Caenorhabditis elegans: one gene and its partner. The protein of the gene in region 2 interacts with the protein of the main gene of each other region in a pairwise test. Each region holds a gene or a part of one and is shown on either strand. Other genes may lie near its edges.

Region 1 (5,404 bases), on a different chromosome or scaffold from region 2:
TTGTGATGGGCAAAAGGCCAGCAAATGAGAGTCTGAGACCAGTCCGATCGTGCACAACAAATGGTGTATTGGTTGTGGACATGTGCGTCAAGAGACGTTTCATTTCATTCGGATTTTCTCGCATTTCGGCTTCTTCCGGCGGTGTAGTCATCACTTCGAAATCGTCTTCTTTGCATTTTAACATACTGCGTACGATGTTAATTTTTGATGAAAACGAAATAATCAAAAACTGATTTATTTTTTTCCAATCGTCAATATTTTTTCGTTTTGAAGTTCTTAGTTGGAATGTCACGGAATGAAATAGTGTGGCAGTAAAAATAATATTAGTTTCAAAACAATTCCCTTGCGTATTATTTATTGTCAGGAAAAAATATACATCATGAATCTTTTCCCATTCTTGTTGCCTTGGAGATTTCATTATTTTGTCGTCTTTTTTGGACTTCAATTTTATATTCTTGTTCCAGTACATTACATGTTTATATTCATAATGTGAGAACTTTTAAGCTTCATTGTGTTAAGCTGTAGTTTCAGAACTTTTTATACTTTCGCTTTTTGAAGCTTTCGGCAACCTTTGCCGGGACTGAACTTTCCAAAAACTCATAGAATCCTATAAAGTGTTTTTTTATTCTAAAACACTGGCACTGGTAATTAACTTAAGTATTCAAAACATTAGTTTCATTTTTTCTAAAATTTCTAGAAGCCCAGTATTGTGAATAAACTAAAGTGCCCTCAAAACGTATCATACTATTACAAAATTGATATTTCCGATAAGTGCTCAGAACTCTTTAAAAAATAATATTTGTCGAGTCCCCAGTAAACTATTAATATTTTATAAGTTGGGAACAACAAAGAAGGAAATGTAGAATCAGATTTTCATTGTCAAATAAATATCATTTTTGAATGACCAAAACTCAAAGCTTGTTTCAGATTTTTCAATATTTTCAGTTTTGGCAAATTTCCAAATTTTTAAATACTTCGGAATTCTTGCAAATTTTTGAGCTCTTCTTTGATCAAAAGTAGGATTATTGGTCGACTTTCAAAATTATGATAGGCGAAGCAATATTGTAACTTGTTATTTTGTTACTTTCCCTATTATGATTATTTTCCCCTGTGTTTGCCAAATTTTCCAAAAAAGTAAATTTTTAAGAAATTTCAAACGGTAAACCCCTACAACATTTGAATACAAAAAAATAAAACTCGTAGATTTTTTTTTGCCGACTTCTAGTTCTTCACTAATTTGTGACTATACATAAAAAATTTCAGTTTTTTTTGGTGTTACTATGGTATTGGGACATTTTTGCACTATAAGCATGGTTTCATGATATTTTCTTACTGACGATTTTAATTGTAGTACTATAAAAATTTGTCGTGCCCTTCCGAATCTTGTATTCATCCGGTGCCCAAAAATCGCTAAACTTCAAACGATAGAAACAATGAATAGATATTGAAAAAAAGAAACACCTGGTGCAACCCTCTTTTACATAAATCTAATCCATCTATTTTTCTCAGAAAAATGGCGCCACGCCATTTAATGACCCCGTCATTTTATGGGGTGGCGCGACAGAAAGGCGCCGCACTTCTACCTATTCTCCGGTCATACATATATCCATTTTGGCGCAACTTTTCCGTTCAGATCATTAGTATCATTAGGCGGACAAGTTGTCAAAAAGAACATTAAGTGAATGATGAGATAGTTAAGAGAGATAGTGTACTGATAGAAGAGGCCGTAGATTGAAATATTGTACGAAACGGAGAGGAAACTCGGCAAACAGTCTTTTCATCTCTACCTCTGTCTTTACTCGTTCTATTTTCATGTTTTTCGCAACTGACTTCATTAACAATATATTTTAATCAATTTATTTGCAAATTTCAGATTTAATGAACATCACCTTTATATTTATTCTCATTTTCGGATTTTTCAATACTCAAAAATGCTCAAAAGACTATGATCACTTTGACGATGAAGACTTAGCGTTGAGCATTCCAAAAAATGCAATAGGAGTTCCAAAGGAGTTCAGGTACATGAGTTTTTATATTTTATCAAAAATTCAGTTTTTCTTATCAGGCAACAAGTTTTAAAAGAGATGAAGCTTCGGAACAGACCCAATGATATTTTGAAAAATCGATGTTATTGCAATTATGATCAGTCGATATGTGGAAATAATATGACATGTGTGAAACAAGATGGAGCTGCTTGTTATCATGCCGTTGAAGAGGTAAAATTAACTTGTAGCTCTTGAAAGTTTCCGTTTTATTTTTTGGAATATTTTTACACCATGGAGGTTAGCAACATATGATCTAGGCGTTACCAGTTTTTTAATGAATGGATTTTTCTCATTTCTTGAAACTGACAAATTATAATAATTTTTTTTTTTTGAAAAATCGATGTTATTGCAATTATGATTATTTTCAAAATTATAAAAATAAATTTTAGGTTTATAACAAAGCTGAAAAACGAATGGAAACTCTTCATAAATGGGGATGTGCAACACTGGAAAGAGGAAGTGGAGCTTCACATTTGACGGTGTTTCATCGAGTTTTTTGAAATATTTCACCAGGTGTTTTTCAGTGTAATTCTTGGAGAGCAGCTCACCATTCTCCTAAAAGTATTGGTTGTTGCTATGAAGGTAACTATTGCAATAAGAATTTGATTCCGCCGGCATATGTTCATCATCACAAGGGTGAGTTTTTTTTTAATTTAAATTTTTTAACAGGGACTATTCAGAGAAAGCACTTCAAGAGAAAACTGACAATCCAGAAGACTATGATTCTCCACTGGAAAACATGACACGTGGAGGAAAAATGTTCATAATGGTATTTGCAACAGTCATGTCGGTTTTTGCAGTCATTGGATGTATTTATTTATGTATTACAAGAGCAGGTGAGACAGTTTTTAAATTACTAAATTGATATTTTGTTTCAGAAGAAAAATCTAAAGCCAGAGCCAGAGCCAAGACGGTGTCTCTGAAAACAGAATCAACATACATGGAGAGCAAATCAATGCTCGAAGACTCAGGGTTCGTTTTTATTTCCTAGAGTATTTGCGATATAGAGATATCATACCCATTATTTTGAAAGTGATGTTTTTAACAAATACAATTTTCAGAAGTGGTTCTGGGCAGGCTGCGTTGATCCAAAGGACAGTGAGACAAGATTTAACAATTATTAAAACAATTGGACAGGGAAGGTAAAATTAATTCTTATTTTAATCTTTGTTGCCTATATTTTTTAGATATGGAGAAGTTCGCAAAGCTCTGTATCGTGGAAGTTACGTGGCTGTAAAAACATTCTACACAACTGATGAAGATTCATGGAAAAATGAAAGAGATGTATATCAAACTAACATGATCAATCATGAAAATATCCTTCGTAAGCTATTTCAGTAAAATTACTTTGAATTTCAAGAATTGTTTCAGAATTCGTGGCGGCTGATATTTGGAGTGAGGAAGATTCAATGACAAAGATGCTTCTTATCACTGATTATCATGAACTGGGATCTTTATCAGATTATCTTTGCCGTGAAGAAACATTGACAACAGATGAAGCTCTTCGACTTATTCACAGTTGTATATGTGGTATTGAACATCTACATGCAGCTGTACACGGAACTGGAAGCTTTAGAAAACCTGAAATTGCACATCGAGATATTAAATCAAAGAATATTATAGTCAAACGACCAAATGTGTGTTGTATCGCTGATTTGGGTTTGGCACTACGATAGTGAGTTATTTCAAATGATGCATCTGAAAACCAAAGATTTAGTTGTTCTGAAATTTAGAAAGAATAATGTTTTCAGTCAAAACGACAAAATTCTCCCTGAAAAATTCAATGTTCAAGTTGGAACAAAACGATATATGGCTCCAGAACTGATATCAAACAAGTTGAATCCAAAAGATTTTTCTCAGTTCAAGATGGCAGATATCTACTCAATGGCACTTGTTATGTGGGAAGTTGCAATCAGGGTTGAGGTATGATTATTCAATGAGTTTAAAATAAAGGCCATGATTGTAGGTAAACACCTGTGAGGAAGTGTTAACTGTCGATGAGACCTCTCCTGATCACAGTGCATCAAGTGGTATCGGAGAGTCAGTTAGTTCATCTGGTAATATATCGAGAATGCATCTACAAAAAACAAATGTAGAAGGACATTCTACATCTCTGAAAGCAAAACAACATGTCCCACCATTCGATGGAATCGTGCACAATGATCCCAATTTTGACGAGATGAACGATGTAATTTGTGTACGTCGAATACGTCCACCACCGGATCTTGCCTGGAAAAACGTCCCAGCACTTAATGAATTGAGCAAGTTGATGGAAGACAGTTGGCATTCAATTCCACACTTCCGACATTCTGCTCTTAAATTGAAAAAAGAAATGGCTGAGTTGATCAAAAACCCCGACAGACAGGTAATTCAACACGTTAAGGAGCTATATCTAACTCTATGTTTTCAGAATCAATCGCAGCGTAAAGTTGAATTCCAACAGCAAGACAGTGGCCTTGTTGAGTCAGCCACCAATCAATCTTAACCCACTTTCTGATCTTACTTTCGTTGTACCAAAATTTTTGGCTTCTTTAAAATCAATTTTACTTTTTCAGTTTTGTTCATATTTCCACAACGGTCAAAATTTAAAGCGATCTCTCTAATAATTTCCCATCAATTTTTTAATTGTGCAACTCTTATGAACTTGTTCTCATCTCGATTTACTGCAATTTTTGTGAATAAACATTGTTCCAGACCTGTACGTTCGTGTTGTAATTATGCGACATTATTGTCCATCATTGCCTAATATTTCCTTGATAGATTGCCGATAAGACAAATTCTTAACTTGCGCTCCCTGTGGCAGAAGACGGAGCAAACAAAATTATCAGCTCAACCATGTTTAAATGTACGTTTATTATCTCTCTATCTGAATCTATCTGGATTGGTGTGCACTGCATTTGTGAGCAAATATAGGCATACTTGTACGTGGTTTGATAAGATAATACTGCACCGTTAGACAACTCTTTTGGGTGAAACAAAAGGGAGACAACTGCAAGTTGCATCAGTTGGAACAATGAAACATTAATTCGTTAAAACACAAAGCACATCTGATATCATTTTCACAATTTATTTCGTTTATCACATATTTTAGAAGATCATCCTTTTGTAAAGTTAAAAGTGGATTCATGATATTTTAATTTTGACAAATCTCGACTAGAAAATTTTTAAGGATATCAAATATTTCAAGAAATTTCTGCACTGCAAGTTACGGCAAAATGTCCATCTGTCTGGATTTATTTTGTAGGTGAATCACTTGACTGTAGAAATCGAATATGATGCATGCAACTAAGTCTTTATTTCACAAAGCTTTTTAAAGTATTTTTTCAATTGTAAATTTGATAAATTCAATTTTAACTTCG
Region 2 (3,980 bases):
ATAGAATGATCCTGCTCGAGGTGCTCAAAAGATCTTAATCCGATGAACTGAGTTGTCCATGTAAAATCCAATGGAGCCACCACTTCTTTCTTCGTCATATTTACTTCCAACTCATTCATTAGAGTTTTAACATCATTTCTCAGATCTTCCGATGTTATCACAAAAATAACACGAATTGGTACAGTTATTGATTGATTTGATGGAAATGTGGGAAAGTTTGAACGATATGTTGAAGTTGTAAAATGCCACATTGGCATACCGATGAAAAATACAAGAATAACAAAAGATAATGATGCAGCTAACTTATACGGGCGTTCCGAGTGTACATAATTGATAAATGATTGTGTTATTTCTCCATATTCTTCCGTTTCCGTTTGTCTTCCCAGTAAAAAGTCTAGAGCTTTTTGCTTGAAACTCTTCGAACTTTCCTGTGGCATTTCTTCATCTTCCGTCATTCTGTGAAATTTTAGTTTTAGATTTGAAATTTATGATTTCATTTGGACTTTTGAGTATATATATATTTTTAAAGCCACTGCAAATAACAGAAAACATGTTTAAAACTTCGAAACGGATCCGGACGGATAAAATATGAAAATTTCATTGGAATCTCACAAAGTTTGAAAATACCAGTAAAAACATGGGGTTTTGGGAAAAAGAAACAAAGAAGGCAAAAGTTGAGGAAGTTGTGACAAACCAAATGGTTTCTTTTAGAGAATCGAACGTATATTTTGCAAAGTGGATGAATTTTTTGTGACCGGCATAGGCTGTGGTAAGTCGAAAGAAAGCTGCGTAGAAGTGAATACATTGGAAGGTAGAGAATATTTCGTTGATTAATTGATTATTTGATTGATTAATGGGTATAATACCATTTTGCCCGTTGAGCGAGTATGTCCGATTTGAGATTTTGAGCGAAACAGATACCGAGAACCTGAAATTAAATACTAATAATCAATTTTTCATTCGAATTTAATACCTGGATTATTGCAATAATAACCATCGAAACGGCTACTAATAGCATGTTATTATTAAGCCAAAGTTGAAGTTTCGGCAGACATCCTTCCGTATAAATCGATGCAGTGTGGGCCATCACACGTTGAGCCGCAAGATGTGCTGCCATGTGGCTTTCTGGTTTTAAACGAACACCGTGCCCGCAGAAGTAGTTCTTGAATTCCAGTTTACTACTGTTGATACAACAGGAAAATGGAACTCCGCCAGCTTCTGGAGAGGCCACTTCTCTGGCTTCTATTGAAAAATAGGTGTTTCTATCCCAATCGTCGGCTCCGTTGATTCCACAACACATCCACGTCTCTTGCATAGAATCAATCAATAGCTGAAGATCCGGATCATCTCTATATCCAACTACCACATCGTTCAATAGATTTCTAATATAGTTATCAAGTTGATCTCTGCAAGCATATGCGAATACTCCTGCTGAGAATTCGGCGATGAGCAAAAGGCCAAGAAGTGTTGAATAGAATGTAAGGAAGGATGTATTCTCTCGTAGTGATCCAACACATCCACTGAAACCAATGATAAATGTGAGAAATCCAACGATGAGAAGTGGCCACGTCGGATCGAGATACAGTTTCGATGCTTTACTCAGCATATTTACAAAGGTGTTCTTCTCAATTTGTGCCCAAACTCCGAACAAGAGCAGACCAAATCCTGAAATTTCATATTATTTTTTTTCTGAAGATCAATTTTTAAATAAATGTTTCGAAAATTTTTGAGCATTTTAAGATTATATTTGAAAAAACAAACCTAGCAAAAAGAAGATTACATTGAAACTGAAAACCGAATATTTAACACAACAACTGATTTCCGATTCACCACCAGCGCCGGGGGCATAACGAATTTGCTGAAACTCGATAATTGTTTTTGAAAAAAAAATTCTAAATTTTTTCAACTAACCGATTGTCTATATACCCTCTGCTGTGCTCTGTGTTGCACCGGCTGTCGTCGATTGGCCATCTGATGGGTGAGAAGTGGCCGATGATGTTCTGGCCGACGAGCAATCTTGCTGGGAAAATTTAAATTTAATTAAAATAAAATACATGAGGTCAGAGTTTAAAAAGATACATAATATAATCCTTTCTGGAAACCGGACAGGTAGAGAAAAAGTGACCAGTGAGTCACATAAAGTGTCAATAAAGACAAGAAGAGTGTGCAAACAAATTTTCCAGGAAAGAAATGTTCCCCTTCAGCTTCCTCTTTTTCTTTTCAATAGTCTATACTACGAGAAAGATTGGAAAACCAAAGAGACGGAGGAAACGTAATACGTTATCTTGTTACTAGCCTCCTTCTCTTCGTTTTTCACTGTGTGGTCTGGCAGGCTTGCAACGAATGATTTCAATTGCCGCCTTCATCCATTAGTTCATTGAATTCGATGGAGATATTAAAAGAGAACGGAAAAACGAAAAGTATCAGACTAGTATCTTACAACGATCAATAATTCAAATATTTTTGCCAACCAGTGGGTATTTTTGAACAAAGCGACGGGAGGTAACATGAAGGTGTAATTATATAAAGGGAAGCAAAAATATGTCCTTGAGTTGGAGAACTGGCGAGAAACGGATCGGTAATGGGATTAATTTTTCAGAAATACTTCAAAATTCAAAACAATGTAAAATGAAGCATTTGCAATTATTTGTTAGAAAGCATGCATGCAAATGCAACCAAATTGCAGAATTTGAATTGTTGTGAAAAAAACTGGGCAGACTTCAAGAAAAATAAAAAAGCTTCTTTGTTCTCACATCAAGTCTCCAGGGAGCCCTGATTCTACTCTGATAAATGGTGGCGTAAAACTGCTCGAAACATGGTCCCAGTCATTGGGAATGCAAGAAAGCTTCTAAATTATTCACAAGTTCTGTGAATTTGAAATACATTTGCACTTTGCAGTGAATAATTTTGAAAATACCAAGTTTTGGGGATACTTAATAAATATAAAGTACACAAAAGAAACAGTTAAACTTATGAAATCACATGCCCGGCCGTGGCCGCATTCATTTAATAAATGGAGGGAAATTCAATGAGAAATACGGTGGACAACGAGTGTTTACGGACTGAACAACACATTTGACGACAAGTTGCAGACAGACACGTTGCAGCGATAGAAGAAAAGTCTGGTTTTCAATTTTACGTATTTTCCCTAATATTTTATTTATATTATTAGCTGAAAAATGTTTTATAAATAAGGGTTCAAATTTTTGAGGTGATTAATCACGCAGTAAATGTTTCAAATGTTAAATTTACATTGTAAACCTCGCGACCAACTGTGTATGTATGACTTTCCAAATAACTTCGCAACTGTTCGTCCGTCAATATAATATCACTTTAAATCTTCCAAATAACAGTTATTCGATTCAGATTGACTCACTTTGAACTAATCTCCATCATTTATGCACAGTTGAAAATTTTCAGAAGCTGAAAGTTTGAAAAATAACACGTAAAAATGAGTGCCCCAAAAACTAAAGGAGGTAATTTTGAGACGTCGTGATTGTGATTTATTATTTTGTAATTTCTTTGTGCTTGTAGTCGCTCCTTGATTGTGCATGACTTTTCTCTCGCTTCTCAATAGAACACGTTGGTTTTTCTCATTATTCGATTAATCAGTAGCAAAACAGTGTATCCTCGAAAAATCATAAATGTTGGGTTCCTAATTTTTGCCATCAGAATTCGAAGTCGGCCGAATGATTTTGAGTTACTCCGTTATACATTCTTCGCGCCACAAAAAATGTAATGGTTTTATTTTCCAGGTCAATCTTCAAGAATGAAGACCAACAAGAAGGATGAGGAAACCGGGGGAAACGTCTATGCTCACCTCGATAAGACCTCCGTTCTTCAGGAAGCTCGCGCCTTCAACGAGACACCGATCAACGCGAGGAAATGTTGTTTCATCTTGTCGAAGTTGATTTACATCATTCAACAAGGAGAATCAATCGGAAGAACAGAAGCAACTGAGGCCTTTTTTGGTGTCACAA

The links.
Region 1: the proteins of tsp-12 (region 2) and sma-6 interact in a two-hybrid assay, tested with the Caenorhabditis elegans proteins (one study listed by BioGRID).

Annotation. Positions count from the first base shown.
Region 1 is NC_003280.10:6,322,611-6,328,014, forward strand, and holds sma-6 (Serine/threonine-protein kinase receptor sma-6), read left to right. Parts: upstream 1-1,873; 5' UTR 1,874-1,878; coding exon 1,879-2,018; intron 2,019-2,065; coding exon 2,066-2,216; intron 2,217-2,434; coding exon 2,435-2,524; intron 2,525-2,569; coding exon 2,570-2,681; intron 2,682-2,725; coding exon 2,726-2,881; intron 2,882-2,923; coding exon 2,924-3,017; intron 3,018-3,106; coding exon 3,107-3,187; intron 3,188-3,232; coding exon 3,233-3,369; intron 3,370-3,416; coding exon 3,417-3,720; intron 3,721-3,796; coding exon 3,797-3,968; intron 3,969-4,011; coding exon 4,012-4,410; intron 4,411-4,455; coding exon 4,456-4,530; 3' UTR 4,531-4,745; downstream 4,746-5,404. Other genes in the region: C32D5.4 (uncharacterized protein), read right to left, coding at 1-469.
Region 2 is NC_003282.8:10,148,583-10,152,562, forward strand, and holds tsp-12 (Tetraspanin-12), read right to left. Parts: upstream 2,021-3,980; 5' UTR 1,972-2,020; coding exon 1,912-1,971; intron 1,859-1,911; coding exon 1,762-1,858; intron 1,666-1,761; coding exon 974-1,665; intron 929-973; coding exon 851-928; 3' UTR 584-850; downstream 1-583. Other genes in the region: pigs-1 (GPI transamidase component PIG-S), read right to left, coding at 1-455; copg-1 (Coatomer subunit gamma), read left to right, coding at 3,452-3,476, 3,756-3,980. UniProt on the Caenorhabditis elegans protein: Functions redundantly with tsp-14 isoform a to regulate body size, embryonic and vulva development. Functions redundantly with tsp-14 (isoforms a and b) to regulate cell fate specification in the postembryonic mesodermal M lineage and male development.